Linked DNA regions of Pelodiscus sinensis. The protein of the gene in region 1 interacts with the protein of each later gene in a pairwise test. Links are inferred from orthologs where the notes say so. Each region holds a gene or a part of one and is shown on either strand. Other genes may lie near its edges.

Region 1 (10,272 bases):
TTATTAGCACATTCTGTTTAATAGGACAGGACAGTGACCACCAAACTGCTACCAGAGCATAACAACGTTTGGTCAGTACTTATTCTATCTATAGATGGTTGACTGTCATTTAGCAGAAAAACAGGTGGTAGTGATTTCCTGACACATCATTCTCATTGATTTGAAATTACATGCTCCCTATGAAAATCCCATCACTTATTTTGCAAAATATAGGAAAACCCTCACCATTCACGGTGGAAGCGTTCCTGGCACCATCATGAATTGCAAAATTTGCGACTACTGGGAGCCATGGCTCCCAGCTCCCACAGGAGCTCCCCTTAGCAGCTGAACTCACCCCAGGTCCAGGAGCCACTGAGAACTCACCATAGCTGCCAGGATCTGTGGGGAACCTACAATGGCTCCTGGCAGCTGCAGTGAGCTTCCCACAGCTCCCAGAAGCTACAGTGAGTTCCCCATGGGGGCCGTGAGTCACAGTGAGTTCCCCACATGCCTCCCCAGGCTGGGACAGTAGACACCTGCTAATATACAGAACTGCGAATAGCAATTCTGCAAATCCCGAGGGTCTCTCCTGTAGTTGTACATTGAATAACAACAAACGATTTACAATATGCTAATGCAATCCCCGCTCACATGCTACTGGAGGAGCACTGAAAACTAACATGCACCAGCATTCCTCCTAAGCCATTCACTTGTGCGGATGCTTAGGAGAAATTCTAATGCTGTCTGGCTGATGAGCAGAGCATCCACAGCGAGGTTTGTGTTTCCACTGGTGATCCACATTCACACATGCACATAAAAAAATTATTCCACACACGGATGGAAAAGTTTAGGGGAACATTATATGCAGCTAATAATGAAAAGCTAGTCAAGTTCTTTATGCTTTCTTAAAACAGTTCACAGCATCATTTTTAAAAATATCCAGCAGGATGGAAGGATAACACACAACACCTATAAAATCAAAGGGCATGGTAAAAATCTTTGCTACCTTCCCAGAGAGAATCCTTTAATCCCTGGACTTCGACTAGCCATTCCAGCAAATTATCCTTTATCGGAGTAGCAAAGATTCCCTAAAAAAGGCACAAAAAGAAGGTACAGTGTGGAATGTGAAGAACTTGCAATGTTCCCTTAAAAACTTGCTTACCTTGTTAGTTAAAATTAAGAATTATGAAAATTAGTTAATTCATATTTCTAAAGCACTTTGAGACATTTGGATTCATGAAAATGTGTGTATCTGTGTGTCTGTCTATGTGTTTGTCTGTGAGTCTGTTTGTTCGTGAGTCTGTTTGTTCAAGAACGCCTCCTAAATGGTAAGAACTAGGACCACTAAATTTGGTATGCAGCTTCCTCTTATCCTAACCTAAAGCAAGGTCAGTGGTTGGTTGCGCTAGGACAATTGGAAGTGCTGGGAAAGAGACTGTTTTCCACGACACAGAAAGGGCGGGGCTATTTGGAGGGACACGATAATGAGAGTAGTCACTGGGGGCAGTGAGCCCGCAGAGAAGAGCTTTCCTGCAGTGTGTCCACTGGGGCAGCTGTGCTTCCAAGGGGGTTGCCAACAGGACTGGGGCTCCTGCCTGCCAGCACACCAGGTAAGTAGCCTCCCTGCCCCAAACCCTTTCCCCCCTTCCCGGGCCTTTGTTGGAGAACTGACATGGGGGGAGAAAAAAGGCCCCTGGTGGCTGAGGGGGGTTGGTTTGGGGGATGACGACAAAAAAAGGCCCATGCTGCATGGGATCCTCCGCCCTGAGCCCCTCCCTCCCTCCAACCCTTACTCTTGCACATACACCTTGCCCCCAGCCTCTTGCAAGGCTCTGCCCTGACTCCTCCACTGCCCACAGTGCCAGCCAGCTGCCTGCCTTGACAGACTTGGGCAATGCCAGGTAAGTCTTCTAGTATTATATATAAACATGAAGGATTGTTATCAAATCTAACAACAAAGTAAGCATTTATATTTCATGTAGCCACGGTCCTTTTTAACTTGGCTTTGGGGAAGGGAATACAGCATATTGCTATAGTAGACGATATTTTTATGAAGAGATCATTGCCAGGCATCAGCAACTAGCACTAGATTTGAATTGTCTACTTAAAGGCAAATGACCATACATATTAATCATCAGTGCCAGAGCCAGCCAGTCCACACAAATATTTTGTTTTACATTTTTGTTGAGTAGCTCACTTGCCATACTGACTCGGTCACCAAAATTCCTTTGCAATGTTCCCGTAAGGGTTCTCCTCTGGAGAAGCACCAATAAAAGCACTTAAAAATCAATGTGAAGATAACCACGTCAGTGGGATTTTTGCCTACTTATGGGGATTGCAATTCCTATGGGGATTCCAGTTGGATTCTTATCACACTTCAGCTGTTCACTGGTGAAATACCCAAAGAATAAAGGTCCACTACTATGAAACCAAGTTGAGTTCTATTTCATTAAATTAAGCCTGATGATCTGTGGAATTAACTTTGAAAATTAAAGATAGCAGGATTAAAATAACTCAACCCATTTGCTTCCCAAAACCCAACCACCATCATCCAAAAATTATAGCTCTACACTGGAGCTGAAAGGTCTACTAGCTCTACTAGCCATATCTGATCAGGCTACTTTGTTAAAAATAAAAATGCAGCTGCAGTGGTGCAGTGGGTGGGACTAGCTGGCTGCCCAAGTGCAATGCTGCCCAAGACTCTAGGTACATACTCAGTACATAATTTTGCAGTTTTAATTCTTTGGTTGAGAAAGCGTGCGGGAAGGGATGCTAATACAAAAAGGGGGAAAGCCAGGCTGAGGATGTAAGAAAGATGTCAGTTGTATGTTAATTGGTTATCCCCCGGCTCAGCTATTGAAAATGAATAAAGATACTACTCACAAAAATATTGGCTTCTTTATACTCCAGATACTCTCTTTCCAACAACAAGTAAGCGCGGGAGTGCATAGCAATAATAGAACTCACGCAGGACGCTTTCTCTCGCCCCTTCCTTTGCAATATTGTTCTTGCTTCACAGAGGCTGTCGTCTTGCAAAAGGACAGTAAATCCTCCCCCTCTAATTCCTGCCACTGCAGTTAGTGGCTTGTACACATCATTTCTAAAGGGTTCGCCTGGCGTTTAAAGAGGCTGATGGCCCTTGAGCTGAAATCTAAATAGGTCAGTCAGAACTAAAAGCCCCACGCAGAGCTGGTGAATGCTTACTAGCAGAGGCTAAACAAACCCAGCTCAGAAGCTTATTCCTGATCCATGGAGTGTTCTTATATGGTTGGAGAGTGGCTATAGGAAGTAAAGGAGAGCCAGGGCAGCTGGGAGCCTCCTCAGCCCAGGGCACAAGGAATAAGTTGGACTCTGTGTACAGTGTTACCCAGCAACAGACTCCTTGGTTTGCTCAGCTGATAAGGCTATGGCTGTGTTCCCTTCCCAGCCAATCACAGGAGGTCTTAGATCATTAATCAGCTTGCCTCCAATCAGAAGTGGCCTTTCACCCAGCACTTAAATAGGCAATTCCCCATGGCTGCAGCTGACAGGACACTAGAGGCAAACCCTCCAGGCCAAGCCATGAATCCAGAGGTGAAGGCCAAGCCTTGACATTAGAGGCTGAACTTGAACTTAGGCAGATGCCTTTATGGCCCCTTCCATTCCCACACTGAGAATTGCCTGGGCAAAGGGCTGCTGGCTCTGCCCCAGTCTTTTTGTTTGTTTTTGAAGTGTCATAATGAGTTTTAAAGATTGGGGATTTTTATAGGATAAGAATTACATGCACCCTATTTATAAATAACACTCGGGTTACAACTCCACCAGCTCACACATAATTATCATGAAATTTAATCCTTTGGCATGCCAGGTCTGATTATCTTATTCCCAAATTCCTCAGGCCCATGTTTCTGGGTCAATGGGGATGGGGAAGAGTTTAAAAAATGAGGATGTTTAAAATCTGTCATGCTCACAGAGCAAACCTATCATTGCCAGAGGGAAGGCGACACTAAAAATCTGCAAGTATCAATAACAGTGACAGAGCCATTTCCCCCCTCACATCTCAACGCACCTTAATCAGGGTAGGTATCAATGTCCGCAGAGGGAGAGGGCCAACAGCTTTGCCAAGGTCATCTACTAAATCAGGGCAGAGCTCAGAATACAATTGCTTTTGCCTGACTCCCAAAGTTTAACTGCATTGCAACACAGCCTCTTGTTCTGCAAAAGCTCTGGCACGACAGGGATTAATAGAGCAGCCGTCTGATCACACAAAATAATTCTTCTGACACATGGCCAGAATCTGCTATAGCTAAGTTTAATTTATCTTCACTTTTTAAAATTCATTAATACCCATAATGCTTTGGGAGAAAGATAATCCTTCCTTAGTTAAAAATGGAGAATTAGCATCATGTTTGGTGATAGCTTGCTAACGGCCCAGTTCTACACCCTTTACTCAAATGAGGAAAGTCCTATTGACATTGAGTGGAATGAGGCTATTTCTAGAAAAAAGTTGTGCAAGTTGGGAATCCCCAAGATTACAAAACCTTCTGGGTTAACCAGTGTTCTGCATGTGAAATATCATAAAATAATTTGGCTGTTTTGTTTCCATATTATTGGAATTGAATCTAGTTTTTGTATCCAGAGTAGGAGGACAATAAGAATCCCAGAGATAACGTCTAAAAGCTAGGAGTGTCGTTAAGACTTATTCTACACTAGCCCTCATCATCAATCTGATTTACATGACTTCAGCTATGCAAGTACCGAAGTCAACATACTTACTAGGGATGTGAAAGACTAGTCGACTATCTGATAAGCAAATGCTTATTGGAGAGTCAACAGGATAGTCGACTAGTCACTTCCCCCCATTTGCTGCCTCTACTAGCTAGAGGCAAGCAAGGGGAAGAGAAGAGATCTTCAAAGCAGCAGCACCGCTGCTGACTCCTCAGCTGATCCCGAGTTCCATGTACGCTGCCGCTTTGAAACACTGGGGAGCCCAGATCTGCTGGGGATTCCCCAGCTGACCCTGGGCTCTGTGCGGTATTTCAAAGCGGCAGTGTTGAGTGGAGCCCGGAATCAGCTGGGGACTGCCCAGCTGACCCCAGGCTCCATGAGGCGCTGCTGCTTTGAAACTCTGCCACCGTGTATCAAAGCGGCAGCACCGCACGGAGTCCAGGGTGAGTGAGTCCCCACCTTTACCCGGGCTCCATGTGGCGCTTTCACCTTTGAAGTGTAGCAACAGCCCTAGGGAATAGGGATAAACGAACAGGATAAGGGATTCCCTTGGGCTGTTGCTACACTTCAAAGGAGGAGGCGCTCTATCGACTAATCAAATAGTCAATGCAAAAATGCATTGACTATTCAATGAGTCAATTACCCAATACTTAACATCCTTAATACTTACTGCAGCGTCTTGTGTGTGGTAAAGTCAGTGGGGACTGCTCTCCTATCAATACTGCCTACCTACTCTTCTCAACCTGGTGGAGTACCAGCATCAACGGGAGAGTGCACAGAGATTGATTTATCGCATTTATTCAGATAACCAGTGTACCCAAAGTTATATCATCAGCATATGCATTGCAGTGCTTCAATCTGTTCCAGAGCAACCAGAGGATATGTAGAGAAAACAAGAGGACAAAGGTGTAAGTGTATGTACCATCTATCAGTAGCTCTGCACCCACAATCATGCTTGCTGGTGTTTGCTCAACGAGGAATTAAGACGCTGGCTAAAGATGCCAGTATCAGCAGTCAGAGCTGCTAGAACAAGAAGGTTGCTCAGAGTGCTTTCATTTAGTTATATGCCTTTTTTTTGTAACACATCTAGTGGTTTTGTGTTGGGAACAATGCGGCCCTCCTATGCCTTCCACACTCCTACTCAAACCACACAGAAACCCAGCTCTGCTGGTTTGCCACAGACTGTCTTCTGTTCTGTCCCTTTTGCCCCCCCGAGCATGGCAGGGACTTGCTGAATTCATACATTAAGTAAAATATTTTCTGGTAAAAAATTATGAAGTTCAGTTAAAATGATTTTGTTTTTAGTGGCAAATAAAAAATATGTTCAACTAATTATTTTCTTAACCATCCTGGAGCTAACGAATAGCTTATCCTCTTTGAACAACTATTTAATTTCTCTTTGTACAAATTTTAAACCAGTTCTGTTATAAATCCCAGTATACATAACAGGACTCTTTGCACAGACATTCTTACAAAATTATATTTTCCATTCATAAGGATCTGAGAACCAGCTCTCACCTGGGGTGTGAAAAACACTAAATACTTCCTGTAAGGGAAAAATTCCCATTGACTTCACTGGGTTTTGAATCAAGTCATGAAGAGATCATCAAGAAAACTGTCTTCTTGCAAGAGAGTCCTTCTCTCAGGATTAGCCTGTGGGCCATATGCAGATTTCCACCCTCCCATTTTGCACTTGTAGCACATGCATAAATTATTATTGAAATCTAAGTATCATGTACAAACTGTTAATTCAGGGGTAGGGGATCTCTGGCTGCTGGGCCAGATGTGGTTCACCAGGGTTAGCCACTGGTGGGTCGCCAGATGCTTTGTTGACCTCAACCAGCGTCCGTAGACACCACCACTCGCAGCTCCCAGTGGCCACGGTTCACTGTTCCTGGTCATTTGGGAGTTGCAGGAAGCAGCGCAGGCCAGGCGACGGGGAACTGTGAGCAGCGCTGCCTGCAGATCATGTTCATGTAAATAAAGTTTCTGGTGGCCTGCCAGGGGCTGACCCTGGTGAACTGTGTGCAGCCAGCACGACAAAGGTTTCTTACCCATATTAATCTATCAATATGTTTCTCAGGTTATTTGCAGATTTCCAAAGCCAGAAGGGACCATTGTGATCAATTCAGATCAATTCAGCAGGCTATAGAATTTCCCCAACTTAATTCGTAGAGCAGATCTTTTAGATGATGGCATGTAAAGTGATAGCTATGTCAGAACACCTCACACTTTGAGTAGGCCTGGCACAGACGCAATCTTTCCCAGAAATTGTCCTCACAGGTTCTGTGAGGAGGCAGAGTTGCCTTCAAGACTCTCAAACATATAGGCTACGTCTACACTGGCCACAATTTCCGGAAAAGCCATGCAAATCAGGTAAGTCAGGATAGGGAAATCTGCAGGGGATTTAAATATCCCCCGTGGATTTAAATAAACATGTCCGCCGCTTTTTTTCCGGCTTGGGGAAAAGCCGGAAAAAAAGCGTCTAGACTGGCGCGATTCTCCAGAATAAAGCCCTTTTCCGGAGGATCTCTTATTCCTACTTTGAAGCCAGTCTAGACACTTTTTTTCCGGCTATTCCCCAAGCCGGGAAAAAAGCAGCGGACATGTTTATTTAAATCCGCAGGGGATATTTAAATCCCCCGCGGATTTCCCTATCCTGACTTACCTGATTTGCATGGCTTTTCCGGAAATTGTGGCCAGTGTAGACATAGCCATAGAGCCTAATCTTGCAAAGGGACACATATCTCCTATGAAGTACGAGAGGCCTCCAAGGCCCACTGGATTCAATGGAAGTTGAGGGAACTCAACATCTTGCAGTGTTGGATCCCAAATGACCAATATAACTGTATTTCTAACAGCACTGAAGTATGAACAGATAAAAAGCATTTTCATTATTTTCAGTTAGGTGAGCTTTCAAAAATTCTCTCGATGTCCAAAGGGAACAGAATAATGAAACAACTAGCAAATTTAGTAGGGAATATTCTAAACCTATAAACTCTTGTACAACTTCAGTCATGCATAGCATTAACGGAGTCTTCTTTGGTTTTCTGTTAAATATCTCAGGCCCTGGAATACTCAGTTAGCAGTTCTGGTATATCCAAGTCTTCCAACCCCATTTTTGTGGAATAATTCTTTGCTACATCTGCAGTTCTGAGTCTGTACCAACCCACCGTAATAATTATCCTTATTTGTAGAGGACACAGTATTGCTAACTACCATTTTGACATGCAGTTTGGTCTTATGTAAGGATAAGGCAATTTGGGAAGGATGAGAAGCCAGAATGAACAAATCGTATCTTGTACTCTCATGTCGCAGTTCTTAAGAGTTTTATTTCCAAAATCCCAGAGATTCACAAACAACTACAATAGTTCTTTGAAGGAAGTTGCTATTCTGATTTGACCATTAGAAAGTCTGTAAAATTTTCTCTGCCTTTGTCTATGATGCACAATAATATTTGGTTCTTGAATTTCAACTCAGACAGGAATTACCAACATTCTGATACCTTTTGGCAGTTTATTTTTCACATTATCCAATTTTATTTTAGTAGGTTTTTTTTTAGCACCCAAGAGAATTCTTGCCTTTCTCTTTTAGCATTCATTAACTCACTGCAATGCTTTGAGTCAAGCTGAGAAGTTGAGTCCCAGAAGTCACAAACTTCATTCACTGAGGGGGAAAAATGTTCTCCCTGAGGCTTTATAGGCTTTTTGCTCAAAGCACATCTTATATTTTTAACAGCTGAAAGCATATATGATTTTTTGACAGATCTCTGTTGTGGATAGCTTTTAAGTAAAGAAAATAAGGGTATGTCTACACTACCACCCTAGTTCGAACTAGGGTGGTTAATGTAGGCAACCAGAGTTGCAAATGAAGCCCGGGATTTGAATTTCCCGGGCTTCATTTGCATATTGCCGGGAGCCGCCATTTTTAAATGTCTGCTAGTTCGGACTCCGTGCCCGCAGTTACACGCAGCACGAACTAGGTAGTTCGGATTAGGCTTCCTACGAGGTGTACCGGTAGTTCGGAGTAGGAAGCCTAATCCGAACTACCTAGTTCGTGCTGCGTGTAGCCGCGGGCATGGAGTCCAAACTAGCAGACATTTAAAAATGGCGGCGCCCGGCAATATGCAAATGAAGCCCGGGAAATTCAAATCCCGGGCTTCATTTGCAACTCCGGTTGCCTACATTAACCACCCTAGTTTGAACTAGGGTGGTAGTGTAGACATACCCCTAACCTACTTATAATTGTGAGTGGGCAGGGGTTAGAGTTAATGTATTTCTATGCAAAACCAAAAAAGTATCCGAAAGATTTTTTTTCAAGTCTGCCATTGCTGCTCCAGTAGGCACATTTTCAAACTGGCATGTCTAAAGCTAAACACTTTTATCCGCAGGCACCTAAGCAAGCAATATGTTTATGGGGTGCTAAGAATCTGCAGCATTAACATTTGTACATTTTTGCTTGTGTGTGGTTTATGCCTGACTTCACAGTAGTTTCTGATTACTTTTAGTGGTTGTTTTAGCAACTAAGGTGTATCTGGATTTATCCTGCTGTGGTAAATGTCAAATGCATGATAGACCTATGCCACTTGTGATAGATCTAGTTAATTAGGTGCTTTCTCTTGTCACATGGACATTACTTTCTTCTTGAACCAATGAATCTAGTAGTACTTGTACAATAGGTGGAAGGGGTTATGAGGATGCTCTTGGTTTTATCATGCTCTTATCAAACGAATGCTTTCAGGAGAATAAGCAAAATTAAGAATCTTGGTATCACTTTTCAAGCATGTTTTTTACATGGAGAGCCATGAGCCAGCCAAAATACAAAGGTTGCTTTATTTAAGTCACAGTTTGTGTTCTTATTTATTCCAAGTAGGAATACGGGATCTTCTGGAAAAGGGCTTATTTTCCGGAAAATCGCGTCTACGCTGGCGCTTTTCTCCGGCAAAAAACCCGAGCCGGAAAAAAGCGGCAGCCATGTAAATGCAAATGCCGCGGGGGGTATTTAAATCCCCTGCGGATTTGCAATTCCGAAGTGTCTCATTAGCATCCCTTTTCCGGAAAGGGATGCCAATTTAGACACAGCCTTAGGGTTTGTAATCCGTCAGTCAGAGGGAAGTTTAGTATAGATGTAATTAGTGATTGATTTTTGTCTCCAAAAATGAAACTTTCCCTTAAATACAGCAAAAATCCTAATTAAAATTCCAGATCTGAATGCTATTAACCTGGAAATGACATGTCAGCTTTGTGGGCTCAGTATATATATAGTACTGAAGACATGGTCTTAAAAGCATTCATTAATGGGATTCTTGTTGAACACATATGCTCAGATTCTCAAAAGGTATTTAGGTGCCAAGCTCCCAATGAGATCAATGGGAATTAGGTGCTAAAATACCTTTGAATATCTGGGCCATACATGTACACAGGGTTCAGAGCATTTGCACGTATGTGGCACTGAAGTCTCACTACAGATCTTAACAATGAGCTTAAATGGTACTCTGGACTTCTGTTCCGGGGTTGAACTTACCCTACAGAGAATAGCACAGAATGCACTAGTTTTGCAGTCTAGTTTTATTATTGCTGTCTTTTT
Region 2 (10,346 bases), on another chromosome or scaffold:
CAAGAGAGATCTATTCATTAAGAATAAACTGCTATTTGTTTTGAAGTGGGTCATATATTAGGAAGCCAAACTAATTGTGATTTGAATACAAAATATAAATCACAAAACCACCTGTTTATCAGAATGGGTCTCACTGAAGAAAAACAATTCAGCAGCCACTGTAATTGCATCCTTAGCAGAGGTTTCCAGTTAACAAGTGCTCTTCTGTAGTTCAGACAGTTCCCTAAGCACAAGGGGTTAAAATCAGAGAAAGCCTTAGGCAAGGGTCAAGTTAGAAATATACATGTGATTTCTTTAGATTACAGTTAAAATGTTTACAATATATAACTTTGCCCTATTTGGTACTATTCTTTTATGTTTGTTTCTGTTAGCATGCACTAAGAAACTAAAGTAGTTAGATTCACTTTTGTTTTATAGTCAACTTTACAATTAGATGCTGGTACAAGGATAAAGATGAAAAATCAAGCTACAAACACTGCAACAACATTAAGAAAATATTCCACTGGAAGAATACTAATCCTAATAATATTTTTATTGGTCTTTTGCTTGGGGCAAGCTTACTCGTACAATACCTAAATTTGGGGCAAAATTTGATCTGACAACATCTCTATAACTCAGAATTTTCCTGCCTTTGTTTTATTTACACTAACCTTTGGTATGTGTGATAATAGTAAATATACAGCTGCTAGAAACACTGCAGGATTTTTCAAATTGGCCCTGTGGGATTAGAAACATACAATGTGATCACAAGAGAGTATTTGCTATAAAAAGAAAATTAGAATGTTTATCTTCCAAGAAGCCAAGTCCCACACATGCCTCTGAGTTTGTTTTCTGTCAATTGATTAACATTTTTATTAAGCAAATATTAGTTCTGAGTGAAATGGAAGTGCCCTGGGGACTGTTAAGTATAGCTTTGCAAACACAAATATGTCCAGTGTGGGTTGATGAACACACAGTGGAGAATATCTCAAGTGAATGCCCTCAGACACTTGCACAGCCATGTACAAATTCCTTAAGTTTGATTTGAAATTTGGGTACAACAGTCTGCTTAGGAATGACATGCCTTCTGCAGCAGAAGATAAATTCATTAAACAAGGAGCTTTGTTAACATGGGAATAATCACAAATCAAATTAACTACTGATGCAATTAAAGCCATATGTAAACACAGTAAAGCTGCCTGCTAACAAGACCATGGCATGGAACTTTAAATACAAGAATGACACCTGCTGGCGGGCTAACTTTTTTTTTTTGGGGGGAGGGGGGAGAGGAGAGGATCAAAAGTGTTAGGAAAGGCCTTCAAAATGAAGCTATCATCCACACGTCCGCTGCAATAAAGCAACAATTTATTAATGAACAGATATCTAAAATCCAGCTTGTAACTGCTCAGCATTCACGCTAAAAAAATTATAGGATTGTCCATACTCTCTTCTCAAAGTGTCCAGCCTCTCCCAGGAGCTTTATGTAATATGGCACAAAGGAAATGCTATAGTCCTGCGCTGACCCTGGAAATCTTACAGAGATCTAGTTGTCTTTGGCTTTATCTACATGAGGGTCTCTCTATCCTACTGAAACTATTGGAATAGATAGCTACATCACTGTAGCTGTGCCAGCATAACCATAAGAACAGCCATACTGGGTCATACCAAAGGCCCACTTAGCCCAGTGTCCTGTCTTCAGGAGCCACAGAACCGAACAGGTTATCATCAAGTGATCTACCTCCTGTTGTCCATTCCCAGCTTCTGACACCATTCCTGCCCATCCTAGCTAATAGCTATTGATGGACTTATTCTCAATGAATTTATCTATTTCTTTTTTTAACTCTGTTAAAGTCCTGGTCTTCATAACATCCTCTGGCAAAGAGTTCCACAGGTTGACTGTGCATTGTCTGAAGAAATACTTCTTAAAGGGCTACGTCTACACTGGCATGATTTTCCAGAAATGCTTTTAACGGAAAAGTTTTCCGTTAAAAGCATTTTCGGAAAAACGCGTCTAGATTGGCAGGACGCTTTTCCGCAAAAGCACTTTTTACAGAAAAGCGTCCATGGCCAATCTAGATGCGCTTTTCCGCAAAAAAGCCCCGGTCGCCATTTTCGCAGAAAACAAATCTCTGCTGTCTACACTGGCCCTTCTGCGCAAAAGTTTTTCGGAAAAAGACTTTTGCCCGAACGGGAGCAGCATAGTATTTCCGCAAAAGCACTGACAATCTTACATGAGATCGTCAGTGCTTTTGTGGAAATTCAAGCAGCCAGTGTAGACAGTTGGCAAGTTTTTCCACAAAAGCAGATGATTTTGCGGAAAAAGTTGCCAGTCTAGACACAGCTCGTGTTATGGGAACAAGCAGGGGCAGCCCATGAGCCTAGGTGAACTAGGCAGTTGCCTAGAGCGCTGCTGGCCCAGGCGCTCAGTGATGATGTCATGGGGCGCCGCCCGCCTGGGGCGCCAGCTGCCGCACCTGGCCTTGGATCACTTCTGGGAACAAGTGGTTTACTTTCTCTACACCAGTCATGTTTTTATAGACCTCTATCATATCCCCCCTTAGTTGTCTCTTTTCCAAGCTGAAAAGCTCCAGTCTGATGAGTCTCTTCTCATATGGTAGCTGTCCCATACCCTTAATCATTTTTTGCGTTTTTCTGAATTTTTTCTAATGCCAAGTTATCTTTTTTTGAGATGAGGCGACCATATCTGCACACAGTATTCAAGATGTAGACGTACCATGGATTTATACAGATACAATAAAATATTCTCTGCCTTATTCTCTATCCCTTTTTTAATGGTTCCTAACACTGTTTGCTTTTTTGACTGCTGCTGCACATTGAATGGACATTTTCAGAGATTTATCCACAACTCCAAGTGGTAACAGCTAAATTAGTCACCATCATTTTATATGTATAGTTGGGATTATTGTTTGTGAAGAAGCTAGATTGATGGAAGCGTACTTCCATTCACAGTTGTATCTACCTTGAGGGTTAGGTCACCATAGTTATGTCCCTCAGGAAAGTGGATTTTATACCTTGCCAGATGAAGGTATATTGACCTAACTTTTAAGCACAGACCACTCCTAGAACAACAAACCCTAATTGACAAAAGGAGTTACGTAAACCTACGTTACGTAAACCTACCCTTCTCCCTCAACTTGGATAAAAAATGTTTGCCCTCTAGGTGTAGACAGTGTCAATAGAGCTTGATACCCATTGTTAGCCATGTATGCTGGGTCTCTCCATACTACCAGTGTTTCCCAATTGATGCTCCACGGAACTCTGGGGTTCTGCGAAGCAAAAGTAAGGGTTCCGTGAAAATGCAGCTCTCCCCCGTCCCTTCTTAAAGCAACAGAGTCTATTTTGCAGGGTTTTTTTTTTTTTTTGGCTTGACAAATTTTACCCTGGCAACCCTAGCGGTTCCATGAAATTCTTGTAAGCTGAAAAGGGTTCCATGACCAAATAAAATTGGGAAACACTGCACCACACTATACGTATTAGCGGGACAAAATTGTAGTGCTGCCCCAAATAACAGTGATGGGACTTTTCCATTGCAGGTTGCTGAGAGGCAGCTGGTAAATCAATGGGATTACCTATGCCGGCCAGTAACACAGCTGCTCTACCGTTCAGATGCAGACTAGGAGCTAGTCAGCAGGGAGCAGGGCTACGTCCATTCCTTTGCCATCTTTCATGTTTCCATTTGGTTCTTACTCTCTGCTTCTGCTCCCGCCCAGAGCCCACCTTGCCCTTGCCTCCCTCTGCCCCGGGGCTGGCCCCCGCCGGAGGGGAGCAGGGCCCTCGTGCCGCAAAGGCCAGTCTGGTCTCCAGCCTTTGACAGGGACACCTGACTTATGTTCGTTATGGGGGGGGGGGCTTGGCCCCGAACCACCCCAGCCTGTCCCCGGGGTGCCCAGCTCTGCACCCCCCAATGGATCTGGCCTCCCCCATCTTTCTGCTCCCCAAGGCCCTGCCCCCCCTTTCAGCGCGGGCTTCCCGGGGGCCAGGTACCCCCCAAACCCCGCCCGGGGGACCCCCCCCGGCCAGGGGGCGCAACCCCTCCCCCTCTCTGTGCCTGCCCCTGGGGGCCGTTACCCCCCCCCCCCGCGAGCCTTGGCGCCCCGCCCCCCGCGAGCTCTTTACCCCCGCAGCCCCCCCCCCCCCAAAGGGAACCGCCGCGAGCCCGGCGGAAGAGGCGCGGCCCAGCCCTACCTGCCCGGCCTGGCCTGCTGCTCCTGCCGCCGCCCCTCCCAGCCTGCTCCGCGCGCTCGGCGCCTCCCCCGCCCGTCCGCGCCGGCCCGGAGCATGCTGGGAGTGGTAGTTCCGGCTCCGCGGCGGGGATGGAGCCGGAGCTAGAGCGGGGCAGCTGGCTCGGGATAGCCCCCCCCCCGGGTTGTGTTGGGGAGGGGCTCCCCCGCCGCCCCGGCTGTGCCTGCAGAGCTCTCCCTCGCGCCGCCCCAGGGTGTGTCGGGGGCCCGCGCTGCCTCCAGGCAAACGCCCAGATTCGCGTGTCTGGGGGGCTGCCCCCTCCCCCCCCCCGCCCTTCCCGGGTTTGGGTTGGGGGCCCGGTGCCCCCGTCCCCGGTTTGCATTTTGGAGGCACCTGCCTCGTTGTCCCCCCCCCCCCCGGTGCCTGGAGGAGGAGTCTCTGCTCCCCCCCCCCCCCCCCCCCCCCCCGCCCGTGGGGCTTTGCTCAGTTCAGGCACCAGCCGGTAGATCTCGGAGCCTGTGACAGGTTCGGCCAAGAGCCTGGCAAGCGCAGCAAGTCAGCTGCCCCCTCCCCCCTGCTGCCCATCTCCTGCCTGTTGCCTTGGAGCCCCCCCCCCCCCCCCCCCACCTCTGGAGCCTCCTGCATGCGGTACAGAGCAGGGAACGGAGAGGAGGGGGCACTGAGCAGGGTGCCCCTTCTTCCACCCTGTGCTCTCTCTCTCCACAGAAGGGGGGGGGGGGGGGAGCTTGGGATGGAGGGAGTTTGCTGGCTGCTTTTGAGAGTGATGCAGGGCCAGGGCAGGGCTGAGCCTGCCTTACCCCCACTGCATCACCATCCAAGAGCCATCTGAGATAAGCAGTGTCCAGCTGGAGCCAGTTCCAAACCCCTGCACTGGTCATGAACCCCCTCCTATACCCCTAGCCCTGAGATCCCTGGACTCAAACTCCCTTACAGCGCCTGTACCTTGAACCCACCCCTGCCCCCCAACTCTCTGCCCCAGGCTCAGCTCAGAGCCCCCTCACACTCTAGATCCCTTACCCCAAGACCAAAGCCTGTGCCCCAACCCTCTGCCTCTGCCTCGTGAAAGGGAGGGAGAATGGGGAGGAAGGGAGGGTGGAGTGAGCAGGAGCCGGGTCTGGGAGAAGGGGCACAAAGGAAGCTGGGCAAGGGTGTTTGGATTTGGGGTAGATCTTACATTGCACTTAAATTCAAAAAGTGATCTTGTGCTTAAAAAGATTAGCTACCACTGCTCTAATTGCAGGACATTCACAACTGAGTTGGGGCAATTCTCAGGGATGGATGGGGCCCAAGAAAAAGTGACTCAGACTAGTTAGACAAACATATGTATGATTGGATGCCCCAGACTTGGGGTTCTCAAGACTTTCCATTGCCTGTTTTCCGAGAAGTAGTTCACAGTAAGGATGTCAAATTGCGGTTAATTGACTAGTCGAGTAGTCGATGGAATTTCCCAGCAGGGGCTCTTGTACATTTCAAAGGAGGAATGCAGAACTCGGAGTGCAGCCTGGGGCCAGCGGGAAGTCCCACTGACTCCAGGCCGCACACCAATGCCTGCTTTGAAATGTACAAGAATCCCCAGCAGGGATGCCTGGGCATTTCAAAGTGGCAACGCCACACAGCAGAGCCTGGGATCAGCTGTGCGGTGGCTGCCCCTTTGAAATGCTGCCTCCATGTTTCAAAGGGGCAGCCATGGAGCCCAGGGGCAACTAGGGACTCCCCAGCTGGCCCTGGGCTCCACGGTGCTTTGGCGTTTTGACGGGGCAGTACCACACAGCTGAGCTGTGGATCAACTGTTTGGTGGCTGCCCCTTTGAAACGCTGCCTTCCTCCCCTCACCCCTTTGCAGCCTCTATCTCCTAGAGGCAGCAAAGGAGGGAGGGAACTGACTAGTTGACTATTCGACAGACTATTCGATAAGCAAAGGCTAAGTCCTTAACATCCTTAGTTCTCACTTCTCTTTCACCGCATGCAAGCGGCTTCACTCTCCCTTTGCTCTTTCCCAACATCTCTCTGGTGACTACTATTGCTTATGGAGATATTCCACGCTTCTCCTCATTTGCATATTTGTTGTGCAAAACAATGGCAGCGTAGACATAGCTTGAGAGTTTCATTTCTTTTACCACCATTCAGGCCATGGGGGTTTTAGAGTGTGTCTACACTGCCCTCCCCCCAAAAAAAGTGTGTTCTTAACTTGGGTTAAAGTAGGACAGACTTGGTAACTTTGCTTTTCATTTGGGTTAGCAGCTTGAGTTAAAGTTTGGGACTGAACTCAAACTGCTAATATGAGTTAAAATCCAGGGTGCTTTGTCTTCATTGCTATGTTATTTTTGTTTGCAGTGTAGACATACCTAAAGAGAGTAGACAGAATCATGTGGCCAGGTAGCTTTCTGAGTCATTAGTAAATGCTTCACAAACCAACAATGTTTCACTGATCCCTAAACAGGACTATATAGCACTTTAAAGACTAACAAGATGGTTTATTAGGTGATGAGCTTTCGTGGGCCAGACCCACTTCCTCAGATCAAATAGTGGAAGAAAATTGTCACAACCATATACAGGCAGTCCCCGGGTTACGTACAAGATAGGGACTGTAGGTTTGTACTTAAGTCGAATTTGTACTTAAGTCAGAACTGGCGTCCAGATTCAGCCGCTGCTGAAACTGACCAGCGGCTGATTACAGGAAGCCCGAGGCAGAGTTTCTCTGCCCCGGGCTTCCTGGAATCAGCCGCTGATCAGTTTCAACAGTAGCTGAATCTGGACGCCTGGGACAGAGCAGCTGGGGCGCAGCCGGGTAGATCTCTGCAGCGCCGCACCTCAGCGCTGCGGGGACCAACCCGGCAGCACCCCAGGTGCTCTACCCCAGGTGTCCCCAAGTCAGCTGCTGCTGCAACTGATCAGCGGCTGATTCCAGGAAGCCCAGGGCAGAGAAACTCTGCCTCGGGCTTCCTGTAGTCAGCCGCTGGTCAGTTTCAGCAGCAGCTGACTTGGGGACGCCTGGAGCAGAGCAGCTGGGGTGCTGCTGGGTTGGTCCAGTAGCGCCACTCCTCGACGCTACTGGACCAACCCAGCAGCACCCGAGCTGCTCTGCCCCAGGCGTCCTGATTCAGCCGCTGCTGAAACTGATCAGAAGCGGCTGAATCAGGACTCCTGGGGCAGAGCAGCTGGGGTGCTGTCGGGTTGGTCCAGTAGTGCTGAGGAGCGGCGCTGCGGGACCAATCGGCAGCGCCCCAGCTGCTCTACCACAGGTGTCCACGAGAAAAGCCTGGTTTGCTGGGGGGGGGGGGGGTGCACTAGCTGCGCCCCCCCCCCCCAGCAGATCATGGAGACGCGGGCGGCAGGACCGAGATGTGCCGCCGCCTGGGTCCTCCACGGCTTTGCTCCGCGTCTCCCTGGTCTGCTTGGAGGGGGCCCAGCAGACCAGGGAGACGCGGAGCAAAGCCGCAGAGGGCCTGGGCGGCGGGACCGCACAGATACGCCGCAGTCCTGCCGCCCGGGCCCTCCGTGGCTTTGCGCCGCGTCTCACTGGTCTGCTGGGGGACCCCCCCAGGAGACCAGGGAGACGCAGAGCAGCTTTTCTCGCCCCAGAGGATGCGGGCGGCGGGACCTCGGCGCATCTGGGCGGTCCCTCTGCCCGCATCCTCCGGGGCAAGAAAAGCTCCGTTCGTAAGTACGGATCCGACATAAGTCGGATCCGCGTAACTCGGGGACTGCCTGTATACCAAATGATACAATTAAAAAAAATGAACACATATGAAAAGGACAAATCAAATTTCAGAACAGAAGGAGGATGGTGGGGGGGGGGGGGAGGTAACTGTCTACCTTTCCTCCCCCCGCCCGCCCCCATCCTCCTTCTGTTCTGAAATTTGATTTGTCCTTTTCATCCTTTGGTATATATGGTTGTGACAATTTTCTTCCACTATTTGATCTGAGGAAGTGGGTCTGGCCCATGAAAGCTCATCACCTAATAAACCATCTTGTTAGTCTTTAAAGTGCTACACAGTCCTGTTTTTTGTTTCAGCTAAACCAGACTAACATGGCTACATTTCTATCACTGATCACTGTTTGAGAACCACTGTATTAGGAGTGACTACATTAGAAAATTAGGTTAATCAAGGATGTGAAAAATCCACACAGTTAAATGGCATAGGCTCATCTAAGTTCCTGTGTAGTCAATACTAGGGCAGGTCAATCTAACTGGAAGGGCAGGTCTAGTGGAGTAGTTCTAAAGAAATCAGTGCTGTGGTTAGTATTATTCTATGTTTTCTCTAATCTTTTCCATCCTTGTGCAGAATACATTTTCTGTGTGCACCAAAGCACGTGCGTCATCAGTAGAAACAAAAACTTTGCTGCGGACGTTTTGCTAATCAGCTGGGTGGCGTTTAAACGTCTCCTGAGCAGCTGCACAAGTGCACAGCTTGCAGGAAGCGCTGGTTGGCAGTCACCAACTTCTGTTGATGAGAGGGACAAGTTGGGAGTTCTTCTAAAAAAGATCTGGATTATGTGCAGCTGTGAAAAAAATGTATAATATTCTGGGGTATAGGTCAATGTTCCCACTAATTTTTTTCCATCCATGGGTGTAATAAATTTTATGTGCACCAATAGAAACACATGCTGCCAGCTGTGAGTGCTCTGCCAATCAGCTGGATGGCACCTGAATCACTCCTGGGTGGCTGTCCACATGCTCAGGTTACTGCGAACGCTCGTGTAGGTAACACAGGAGTCCTAGGTAAGAAATGGGAGGTAATTGTTCTGGTGTCCTCTGCACTGGTGAGACCTCAGCTGGAACTGTGTCCAGTTCTGGGCAGCACCTGTTAGGGAAGATGTAGACAAATCAGAGTCCAGAGAGCAACAAAAACAATAAAGAGTCAGAAAACTTGTCCCACGAGGAAAGGTTAAAAACACTGGGCATGTTTAATTTTAAGGGAAGGGAAACCTGGTAATTTGACAGTATGTTAAGGGCTGTTATAAAGAAGACAGAGATCAATACTCCTCCATGATCACTGCTCCATAGAGAACAAAAGAGATTTAGGTTTGATATTAAGAAAAACTGTCAGTTGCTAGCTCTGGAATAGTCTTGCAAGGAAGACTGTGTAATCCCCGGCATTGGAGGTTTTTAAAAACAGGCTGGACAAATTTGTTAGGGAAGATGTAGATTTACTTGGGCCTGCCAAAGTAGAGGAAGCTGGCCTTGAGGGCTTCCCAAGATTCCATCCGGCCCTCCATGTCTATGGTTCTGTAATGAAAACTGTTTAAACAGCTGGCCCCAGCATCCCTGCCCTACACTGTACCCTCTCACCATTCCCTGACACTTTCTGCTGCTGCCAGCCCACCCAATCCCCCGCCCCCCTTCTCCCTCTAATATCCCGGGACCATGACTGCCACAGCACTGCATACAACATAATTAAATGTAGTGGTGACGTGTGTGGGGAGGCACAAGAGGCCCCAAACACTGTGGGCAGGAGGGGCCGACCAGCAAGCAGCAGGACTAGTGGGGGAGGAGGCTGGTTTCCACGGGAGGGGTCCAGCCCCCCTGCACTTACCGGAAGTGGTGGGAAGAACTGGAGCAAGGTGACCCCACAGCACCACTCAAGGCGAGGGGGCAGGCAGGACTCCCCTGCACCCCCTGCAGGAAGTGGAGCAATGTGGCAGCCAGAGGAGCAAAGCAGCTGGTCGATCTTGCTCTTCTTCCCCTGCTACTGCTGCTGAGTGCAGGGGCGGGGGGGAGGGCCGGGGGACGCCTGCTGCTGATGCCAGCCCTGCTAGTCCCCAGACCGCCTGGGTTGGGGGAAAAGGCGCGGCAGTGAGAGGGAGGAGCAGGGTCAGAGCAAGGATGGGGAGAGGCAGGGAAGTTGTCCCGGCCCTTCCCCAGACTGGGGAGGGTCACATGGATGCTGCCCTCTCCCCATGCTCAGCCCTGACCAGTCGCTTCTGATAAAACGCTGTGGTTCTTAGGACCTTGAGCCTGCAGGGACCTCACACTGCCTGAAATGAGACTAAGAACTGACAGCCTAAGTCCTGGGTCACGTTGACTCACCGAGCTGAATCTGGGGTGACTGATGGCTGAGCAGCTACCTTTCAGGCAGGCAGGATTTGGTGAGGTGGCTCAGCAAACTACAGGCATCCTATGGGGAATTAAAGAGGCATGGG
Region 3 (11,033 bases), on another chromosome or scaffold:
TTCTCCCCTATTTTGAGTCTGCGCATCCTAAACTCAAAACTCCAGTCATCTGAAGAAGTAGGCTGTGCCCACGAAAGCTCATGATACCATCTACATGTTTTGTTGGTCTATAAAGTGCTACCAGATCATTTGTTGTTTTTTAAGTTTATCCTGTACAGACTAACTTGGCTACCTCCTGAAGTTTATTCACTAGGTGAGACCTCAGTGAAAGCACTACTCTCATTGTTATTGCTGCTTGGTGTGTGCTGCATAGAATCTGTGAAAGTTGCGGGGAAGAGGGGCAGCTTCTGGTGTGGGTGGGAAGTGTCTAGGCAGATTGCCTGGTAGCTAACTAAGAGCAGCCAGATACCAGAGCAATAAGAAGAGCACATTAAGATGCACTATGCGTCAGAGAGAACATAACTGAATAGAAAAGGAATTGTGGGTGTAGCTAGGGTCTAATAATGGAGGGAGGGAGGCACAAGGACACATGGTTTATTACAATTGCTCTGTGTAGCTATCAAAGCTCTGGGAATGATGGTCTTTTCCTCCAGGAGCCATCCCTGGGAGTTGAGTTAAGGCTTCCTGGTCCTCCCCGCCACCTGCATTCTAGGACATATGGGAGAGGAGGATATGGAACTTGGTGAGGAGGGCAGATGGTTTTGCATGGGTGCAGGGAAGCTGTGTGCTCCAGTTGCTTTTCCTGCACCTCTACCAGGTGCTTAATTAGCTCTGTTTGTTCCCCTCCATGAGCCTCAACATCTCATCCTGTGCCTTATGTTCATGTTCCCTGCAAGCTTTCCTGTCCTCCTGTTCGGTGCAGATGACCTCTAACAGCGTTCTCATCTATGCATTCAGTAGTGTTCTATCAGTGCAGGCAGATTGCATGAGCTCGTTAAATATTTTGTCCCATGGTTTTTTTATTTTCCCACTTTCTAGTCTGTGAGGGTATGTCTTCACTAGTCCCCTAGTTCGATCTAGAGAGGCTAATGTAGGCATTCAAAGTTGCAAATGAAGCCAGGGATATTTAAATATCCCGGGCTTTATTTGCATCTTCCCGTCTGGGCGCCATTTTTAAATCCCCTTAGTCCGAACTAACTGCCCGCGGCTACACGTGGCAGTCAAGCGTTAACTCAAAGTAAGGACTTAGTTCGAGTTAACGTTTGACTGCCGTGTGTAGCCGCAGGCAATTAGTTCGGACTAAGGGGATTTAAAAATGGCGCTTAGACGGGAAGATGCAAATAAAGCCCGGGATATTTAAATATCCCGGGCTTCATTTGCAACTTCGAATGCCTACATTAGCTTCCCTAGTTAGAACTAGGGGGCTAGTGTAGACATACCCTGAAAGCCTAACTACTGGAGAAGCAGGGGCAAGTAACAGACTGATGGTTCCAACTGTATTAGGGAAATAAAAAGGTAAACCTGAATGAAGCAGTTTATAACACAAAGGACATGTTAAACTTAAAAAACAACAAATAGTCTGGTAGCACTTTAAAGAATAACAAAACATGTATATGGTATTATGAGGTTTTGTGGGCACAGCCCACTTCTTCAGATGACCCCCTGAAACAAAGTACGTGTTATGTACTAGGTTGAATTATGCATTTTAAATTGAGTGCCTACCAGTAAAGTATAACATATGGGAGTGTGCTGGGCAGTTGAACTCTTTGCAGACAGGCATGGTAAGCAACTCGTGAGGAGGGCTATTTTGTTTCTGCTTTGAAAACATGGAAAAGGGTGCTTGCAAACTACAGTCCTCATTCATGCTTTTGTGTTTGCAAGGGGGAGGAGGGAATTGGAAGGGGCCCCCTCCGCTTCTAGACTGCAATGATTTGGAGATTCAAGGGCTCATAGAGCGTAGTTGCCAACCCCTCCTACGCAGCTGTTCTCCGGGATGATCTCTGGAGCCCATTGCAAACAGGACAGCAAACCTGGGTAATAATTTGTTGGGGATGAACAAACAGAGGTGGATTGCCTCAGTACCTATCAATTACAGAGCTTCCACCATTTCACCCAGGTCACCATGCACAATATCAGTCTTTGGGCATGTCTACACTGCAGGGCTTAACTTGAACGAAGCTACACAAATTGAGCTACGTCAATTGCATAGCTTATTTCAAAATAGCTTATTGTATTTCGAAATAGAGCACTCTTCCTCCAATTTCCCTTATTTCTCATACAATGAGGGTTACAGGAGTTGGAGTAAGAAATCCTCCAGCTTGACAGTATTTTGACACTATTTTGAAATGACTACTGCTGTGTAGATGCAGACTAAGTTATTTCGGAATAATGCTAGTTATTTTGAAACAATGTTGCAGTGTAGACGTACCCTTAGAGAGCACAATGAGGAGTGGATGCTGAATAAATGTGGCCAGAAACCTGGAGCTTATGCTGCTATGCTTTGTGCTGCAATGATGCTAGGTCACTTACTGCTGGTTTGGTATAAAAAGATGTAGGAATGTTAATGATTAACTAGTTAACCAGTATTCCTCACTCTTAACAGGTGAGGTTTACCAGTTATGGTTAACCAGTGAGGGTCTGGAGCAGTCCCCCACCCAGCAAGGGCAGGAGGCTGCTCCAACCCCACAGGGCCTGCCATAGGCAGGATTGTTACAGCTCAACCGGAGCATCCCTGGTTCATGGTGGAGTTGGGGGTAACTCCCGGCATGCTTCAGGCAGAGGTACTTCAGCCCAGCTGGAGCAGCCCCTCTGCCCACCCTGTATACTCAATTAACTGGTTAACCTTAACATTTAACCGGTTAATGAATGAAAGAGGATTTTACTTCCCTAGAAAGGTGTCCTCCCCTGGAGGATGGAATAAGGCAGCCCTTTCCTGAAACCTGACAAAGATTGTAGAGTACCTCGATCACAGCAGGGAGGATTCCCATTCCATCTCCAGATATGCTAACAAACTTTTCTGGGAAACTCTCAATGTATAGGTGGCCTGGCCACCACTGTACCCCAATTGTTCAGGGCAAATCAAAGATTAATCCCAATTACATTTAATCACTGTAGTCTGATTGTATATGTGAACTCGCCAGAAATACCTTCCTCTCCACCAGGGTCTGAGAACAATAAATAGGTCCTGGGAGGGAATTGGCTCCAAAGTTAGAAAAAGGTCCTGCCTGTTGGTGAGATCAGATCCTCTGCTTCTCTACTAAATATTCTCCTCCTCTTTCTCATCTCCAATATACTTTTTGTTGTTGCCTGAGGCTGTCTGAAGAGTCTCTTGGGAGGTATCTATGGACAGTTTTGAGACAGTGGTTGGGTCTTCCCCTAGAATCTCATGCAGCTGCTCATATAAGTGGCATGTCTGAGTTTGTCTCCTTTGTCTTCTGGTACACTTGCCTGAGCTCCTTTTTGGTCATGCAGCTCTACTGGCAGCAGGGCCGGCTTTAGGAAGTGCGGGGCCCAATTCAAACGATTTTGACAGGGCCCCACAGCAATTTTGGTTGAGCAAAAGAAAAAAAAAGCATACAAAAAATCCCCCACCAACACACACACACCCTCCCACAGCACAGGAAAACCCTGCACTAAACTCATACCTCCTGCGGCCGATGCACTCCTCCCCTGGGGCCAGCAGGGGTGGCAGATTTGTATAAGTTTTGGTGGTGCCCCATTAACCACACCCCCTGACCGCTGTTAACCACACACCGACCCCCATTAGCCACACCCCCTCTGGAGGCCTCTGGAGGTAACACATTCAGGGCAAGATGGACACATGACCAGAAGTAAAAGGTGTCATGTCACCCCTCTCGAAGGAAATTCCCACCATCCTCCTACCAATAGGGTTTAGTGTGGCCCCCACCAAACCCCCTTCATGCAACTATCTTGCAATTGCATTAACTCAATGTGTGTGATGTTAACTCGGGGGCAGAGAGCCGGGGGGAAGTGTTCCCTCTAAGGTTATGTCTACACTCATGGCTTCTTGTGCAAGTACAGCCATTCTTGCGCAAGAACCCACAGAGCATCCACGCTGCCCGCCTGCTCTTGTGCAAGGAAATTTACAGTACGGCGTGGTAAGAGACGGTGTCTTGCGCTACGCTCTTTTCTAACAGATGTAAGCTCTCTTGCGCAAGAGGGTAGTGAGGATGCTCGGCAGGGATTTCTTGTGCAAGAAACCCCTATGGCTAAAATGGCCATTGGAGCTTTCTTGCGCAAGAGAGCGTCCATACTGCCATGGATGCTCTTGCGCAAAATCACAGCTTGCACATGGCAGTGTGGACATGTTCTTGCACAAGAACCCTTGGATAAGATATTCTTGCGCAAAAAGCTGCTAGTGTAGATATAACCTAAGAGTTTCCTCCCATGAGCAGAATGGATTTTGTGTTGTGTACCTGTACTGAGTTCATGTGGCTTGTTTGGATGTGCCACTGTGGTACCCAAGTTATTAATAAATATTTTATAAACCTTTGCCTTTTCTCTCTGCTGCCATGTCTCCTCCCCTTGCTCCATCAGCTCCCCTGGTGCCTGCTGCCCTCCAACTCCTCACCCTCCTCTGCTGTCCTGACTCCTGCCCTTCTCACTGCCTTGAGCCCTCCTGCGACCTGCCTCCCTCCACCAGCCCTTCTCTTCCCCCCCCCGTGCCCAATCCTCCAGTAGCCCCACTCTGATCATGTGAGCTACCCGTCTTCATCCCCTCTGCTAACACCTCCCTCTACACACCTGCCCTGCCTCTCTTCTCTGGTGCTGGTCCCTTCCCTGCAGGTGTCTGCCCTTCTGCTCCACCCCAAAACCCCCTGGCACCTGCACCTTCCCTTAGCCCTGCTCCCTCCTGGTGCCTCCTCCTTCCCTTACTGCCTGTGCCCCTTTGCCCTCTTTTTCCCTGATGCCCACCCACTCAGCACTCTCTGCCCCCGTTCTCCTCCTGCCCCTGTGCCCTCACACATGCTTTGCTCCATCATCCCTACCTTCCTCATGCCCACCTCTTCTTTCAAGCCTTCTCCCAGCCGCACACGGCAGGGACGGTCGGGGTTAATGCCTGTAAGTGCTGTTAAATGCTGAAAAACTGTAAAGCCTCATATATATAAATATTAGAACTATATACAGCGTTTAAACCTAAATATCATGTAACCGTTGCCAAAATAGAAGTTTAAACATAAAAAGATAGGTTGACTTAAGTAACACAAATAATTTGCAAAATGTTAGAAAAAGGAAATTATTGAAACACTAAGCAGTTACTTTATACCATGGAAAATCAACACTTACTTAATCTAATAACTTAATCTAATTTGGATGGTACCAGAAAGTGGCTATATATGAAATATAATTGACTTGTGTAGTATAAAATAAATTTCAATCTGTTACCCAGGAACTCAGTAACAAGAATAAATTTACAACTAAGATCTGTGGAATTTTGTTCCTGACACCAGAAGAACAGGTTCCCCGACACTGTATCTATCACCAGTGGATAATTGCTCAATAAAAACACAACTCAGGTATAAATTTCACAAATCTATTAAAGAATTTGGAACAGTCACTTTGAATGACTCTGGGGAGTAGTTAATTCAAAAGAACAGCAGTGGAGTGTCCGCTATTTCAAAATAGCTATTTTGAAGTTATCATTATTCCTCGTGGAAATCAGGAATAGTTATTTCGAAATAACCAGTCCCTTATTTCAAAATAAAAGTCTTGGTAGTGTGGACATTCCACACATTCCTGGTAGTGTAAACCAGGGCTCAGAGAGCTCTGCACACAGACCTCAGTACAACCCTCTTAGCATAGGTGTACACTGTGGAGCTATTTCAGGATACTAGAAGTATCCTGAAATAGCTATTCCACATCTATTGAATCAGCCTGTTATTTCGAAATAGATTTTGAAATAATGGGCATTTCGGAATAGCGAGTTATTTTGAAATACTCTTGAAATAAGCTGTGCAATTTGCGTAATGCAAATTGGGTAACTTATTTCAAGCTAAGGATGCTGTGTAGATGCACCCCCATATAATGCAGAGCAGTGAAATTATTCTGAATCCCTCTGTTTGCTGCAAAGATCTGGGTGATGTGGATATGGTTGAGCAATTGGTTTCTAGATCTGCATTGTTCAACACAGAGGATCAAATTCTGTTCTCAGGTGCATTGGTGCAATATCATTGCAAACAATGAGGTTCAGTTAATCAACTATGTTAGGAGCAAAATGTGCCCCCAATGAGTGTTCAACCAGTTGGTAGCCCCTTGTTACCTTTGGCATAGTTTTTGTAATGAATATAGCATGTTTGTATGTGTGAGTCACTTGTACCAACATTATATAACCTATATTTAAGATAAAGAGACACTGTCAATTTACATTTCCCCCTTCATTTAGGGTTATTTGCCCTGATTCTGCAGACCTTTATTAACAAATATTAAACCTTTAGATTTTCTTACATAATAATAATAATAATAATAATAAAAAAAAATAAAGTCTTTATTAACATCAATAACAAAGTTTTATTATTATTATGCAATCAACCTATTCAGCATGAGAGTTATTACACTAACTGTAATTCAAAGTGAAAGCCGTTTTGATTCTCATTGTCCAAAATTAAAAAAGATAAATTAAATAAACAGTGTAAGGAGGGACATTTTGGATTTTGAAAGGTCTTTAGCATTTAAAATCAAAGGTATGATCATGGTTTGTTGACAACAGGCGATTTAAATGGACTTTGTCCAGAATAGACGAGTCTTTTCTTTTCAGAGTGAGCCTCTTTCTTTCTGCTGTGCTCGCCATCAAACATTCAGTGGCTGTGGGAATCCTCAGGCACCGACCCCTGGTTTCTGTACTGTATTCATGAAATGTAAAAATGAATTTGCCCTTTGTAAGGGAGGAGGAGGCGGTGCTTTCAGACACACACCGCGTGTATGAATTGCTATGAGCAGCAGACCTTGGCGGTTGTGTATCCCTTCCCCTGGCACCCCAGATGTGGGTCCTCCAGCCGCCCATCCCAGCTCTTTTTGTCAGCCGAGATCCTGGACGTGCTGCTGCTAAAATCCTCCTTAGGGGAGAAGGAAAGGAGCTGAGTTGGAGAATGATAGAGAGAAAGAAGTGAACCGGGTAGAGGAGTAAGCAAGTGGAGGGAGAGGGAAGAGCATCTGCAAAAGAGACGTTTTTCTTTTATTTCTTTTTTTTTTCTTTTTCTTACCTGAAGCAGGCTGTTGTCAGTTCACTGTCTCAGCAGCTGCTGTTAAGCGCCGAAGAAACTATTGCAATTGCAAGCTTAACAGGAGCTGGGCTAAGGAAGAAATAGCTCCAGAGCTTAAAACTTCATGCCATGCCCTAACCGCTGGGGGAGAGGAACAAAGGTAAGCAACTGGGGGTTACCCCTATGCAGCTGGACATTTTGATGTAATCTACACCTTTACATGGGCTTTTCCAGAGCTGCTGCTGTCTGCGAAGCTCCCTTTTGCAGCATGTCAGCTTCACACGGCATCGGAAGACATTGCATTCATACTTGCGGTGAAGTGAGTTCGTGTGGCGGAGGGGTGCCTAGAGGCTCGTTGCTGTTACACCACTGGCTCAGTGCTGCAGCTGCGCCCACAAGCGCTGCTTGCCTGTGGTGTCAACGTTTCCCTTATAGACCGTGGGTTGCTACTCAGCACACACACAACGTCAAGTTAGGATTTTCTCAGTGAAGTGTTTGAATATGTAGGAAGCTAGGAAAATGTCTCTCTGCCTTCTTCCCCTCAACACACAAACAGCTAACTAACTAACCCAGCCTTGTAAATGAACAGTGATTTCCCATTTTAAGAAAGGATCCTCCCCCACAGATTTCTCAGTGATTTGCGTTATTTACAAAATATGTGCCTTTACTGTGGGCTGCAGCTTGGAGATCTTTGCATAACTCTCCTCCACTCTAGGAAGTTTACCAATAAAAGATAGATTTTCCTGATTTCTCTTATGAATGCATCTATAGGCATTTTCCTTTTCAAAACCATATTCTGATTTGGAGATTTTATTCAGTTGGGAATGTTATTTTACATATTTATAATAACAAATGATAAATGTTCAGTTTTAAAATAGCTTTGATTTAAAGTCTAGTTACCTTTTGAAACATACTTAAAATGAAAATGACAGGTATTTTAAATGTGTTTTGCATGTGCACTCCATACACATTTTTCCATCCCATTGGTTGCAATGGTGATCCAATATGTGGCTTATGTATGTGCAAGAACACTCAAATCTTTGACAAGATGCTCTTTTGACTTGTTCTTCAAAACTGTCCTCACATGGTGTAAGTTTGGCCATTGTCTTGTCCTTTTTGATATATTGAATCGTAAGCAATTTCTGTGGGGCTCCTTTTTTCCTTCTTTTTGGTCCTATAGTACTGTACTGCTACAAACTTCTTTGTTGGAGAAATTATAGTTTGTCAGGCTATGTCTACACTGCAGAGTTTTTTCAGAAAAATTACCATTTTTCCGAAAAACTTCACTTATGTTCACATTGCAAGCATGTTCTTTTGAAAAAAAATCAAAAGAACAGAGGGTTTTTTCCAACATTGGTAAACCTCTTTCTACGAGGAAGAAGCCTTTTTCCGAAAGAGCTCTTTTGGAAAAAGGTGTGTGTGGATGAGGAAGAGGGAGTTCTTGTGAAAGAAGAGGAAAAAGCACAGATGCCCTGGTGGCCATTCTGTCCATAGTAATCACAGCTGAAATGTAAGATAGCGTCCATTGCTTTTTCAATGTGCTCTGGCAGTGTGAACGCTCTCTTTAGGAAGAAGTTTTTTCAGACGCTCTCTTCAGGAAAAGCTTCTTCCAAAAGAAGCCTGCAGTTTAGACATAGCCTTACTCTCTCCCAATTTGGCAAGATATCTTAAGAGGTAAGTTCCCTTCACTGTGACAACATTAAACATGTTCCCCCTTCCCCAGTACCAAACAGGGATGACACTGCGTCAAATGCTGTTAACACATATAAAGCAGGAAGAATGTTACAGTAGTGGAGTGAGTACCTCACAAATTGTATGCACAGGTATGAAGTGGCACTTGATAGTTGTCCTGGTAATGGTGCCTGTTTCAGTCCATGTGTTTTCTAATCTACTATATATTTTAGAGAGTTTGTGCATCTGTGTGTCCCCGGATTCATCTGTGAGTCTGTTTGTTCAAGAACTCCTTCTAAATGGTAAGAGTTAGGACCACCACATCTGGTATGCAGTTTCCTGTGATCATAACTTAAAGAAAGATCAGTGTTTAGTTGTACCAGGACAATGGAATTTGATTGTTTCTCGTAAAATGGAAAGGTCAGGGCCTGGTAGGAGAGACAGTTATACTGTGGAATGATCATGGGGAGTAGCCAGGGGCTAGAGATGGGGACCAGCTCAGCTATCTACTATGTATTTCAGAGAGTTTGTCTGTTTGTGTGGCTATGGTCTGTGCATCTGTCTGCCCCCCCCACCCCGCTGGGAGACATGAACTCCTCCCTCGGCTGTACTCGCTGTAACTGCAGCAGCCATGGACAGGTGCGTTTTGCCTGGCCCCAAGTTGCTGTAGTGAGAGAGGGCTGGGGCTGTCCTCTTTCCCCGGGGAAGCCTGCACACTGAACCCCTCATCCCCAGCTCCACTCCAGAACAATGATTTCAGCGAAGAAAAAATTTGAGTTAACAACCCATGTAACACTGGGCAAATCTTCTCGGTGTTCCATATTTAAAAAGTAGTGAACAGCAAGGACCAAAACATCTGTGTCAGATGACATAATTATAGGGTGACCAAACAGCAAATGTGAAAAATTGGGCTGGGGTAGAGGGTAATAGGCTTCGGTGTAAGACAAAGCTCTCAATATCAGGACTGTCTCTATAAAACTGGGACATTTGGTCACCCTACATAATTACTATGGTTCCTTTGACACCCAGAGACCCAAAAGCCATATTGGCACATTCAGCATGTAGAAGCATTCTTGTGTCTGTTTTTTCCTGAGTACTATGCAAGTCTTGGACTTCTTCAACATCTCTACTGGTGATGGACTTTGATACATCACCATTAGAAAAGCCTCTGGCAAGAAGGAGTGCTTATGCTGGGAGTGCTCTCACATTCTCAGGTGACTTTTGAACTATATAGTCACAGAAGAATTTTAAATTGGTTGTTTATTGGATGTCAAGTTTAGAACTTTTTCCATTGAGGAACAGGGCATCTGCCAGTCACCTAGTATTTGGAAGACCAAAGACAGGGTAGGCCCACTGCTTAGTGAGGAGGGAGAAGCAGTAACAGGGAACTTGGAAATGGTGGAGATGCTCAATGACTTCTTTGTTTCGGTCTTCACGAGAAGTCTGGAGGTGTGCCTAACGTAGTGAATACAAGCAGAGAGAGGGTAAGTTTAGAAGATAGGATACACAAAGAACAAGTTAAAAATCACTTAGGAAAGTTAGATGTCAGCAAGTCACCAGGTCCTGATGAAATGCATCCCAGGATACTCAAGGAGCTGATAGAGGAGGTATCTGAGCCTTTAGCTATGATCTTTGAAAAATCATGGCAGACAGGGGAGATTCCAGAAGACTGGAAAAGGGCAAATATTGTGCCCATCTATAAAAAGGGGAATAAGAACAACCCAGGAAACTACAGACCGGTCAGTTTAACGTCTGTCCCAGGGAAGATAATGGAGCAGGTAATTAAGGAAATCATATGCAAACACTTGGAAGGTAATAAAGTGATAGGGAATAGCCAGCATGAGTGTGTGAAGAACAAGTCATGCCAAACTAATGTGATAGCTTTCTTTGATAAGATAACGAGCCTTGTGGATAAGGGAGAAGCGGTGGATGTCATATACCTAGACTTTAGTAAGGCATTTGATACGGTCTTGCATGATATTCTTATTGATAAACTAGGCAAATATAACTTAGATAGGGCCACGATAAGGTGGGTGCATAATTGGCTGGATAACCATAGTCAGAGAGTTGTTGTTAACGGTTCTAAATCCTGCTGGAAAGGGATAACAAGTGGAGTTCCTCAAGGGTCTGTTTTGGGACCCGTACTGTTCAATATCTTCATCAATGATGTAGATATTGGGATAGAGAGTACGCTTATTAAGTTTTCAGATGATACCAAACTGGGTGGGGTTGCGACTTCTTTGGAGGATAGGGACATAATTC

The links.
Region 2: the proteins of UBE2U (region 1) and TRIM32 interact in binary tests that used the Homo sapiens proteins (3 or more experiments, as listed by UniProt). The link is inferred for Pelodiscus sinensis from reciprocal best matches to the Homo sapiens genes UBE2U and TRIM32.
Region 3: the proteins of UBE2U (region 1) and RNF144B interact in a two-hybrid assay, tested with the Homo sapiens proteins (2 studies listed by BioGRID and IntAct). The link is inferred for Pelodiscus sinensis from reciprocal best matches to the Homo sapiens genes UBE2U and RNF144B.

The regions. Positions count from the first base shown.
Region 1 is NC_134719.1:17,548,195-17,558,466, reverse strand, and holds the start of UBE2U (ubiquitin-conjugating enzyme E2 U), read right to left. Parts: upstream 5,088-10,272; 5' UTR 2,929-5,087; coding exon 2,863-2,928; intron 1,068-2,862; coding exon 986-1,067; intron 1-985. UniProt on the Homo sapiens protein: Catalyzes the covalent attachment of ubiquitin to other proteins.
Region 2 is NC_134732.1:6,516,312-6,526,657, reverse strand, and holds the start of TRIM32 (E3 ubiquitin-protein ligase TRIM32), read right to left. Parts: upstream 4,297-10,346; 5' UTR 4,186-4,296; intron 3,854-4,185; exon of another isoform or gene 3,121-3,853; intron 718-3,120; exon of another isoform or gene 651-717; intron 224-650; exon of another isoform or gene 112-223; intron 1-111. UniProt on the Homo sapiens protein: E3 ubiquitin ligase that plays a role in various biological processes including neural stem cell differentiation, innate immunity, inflammatory resonse and autophagy.
Region 3 is NC_134712.1:105,603,759-105,614,791, reverse strand, and holds the start of RNF144B (E3 ubiquitin-protein ligase RNF144B), read left to right. Parts: upstream 1-6,678; 5' UTR 6,679-7,260; intron 7,261-11,033.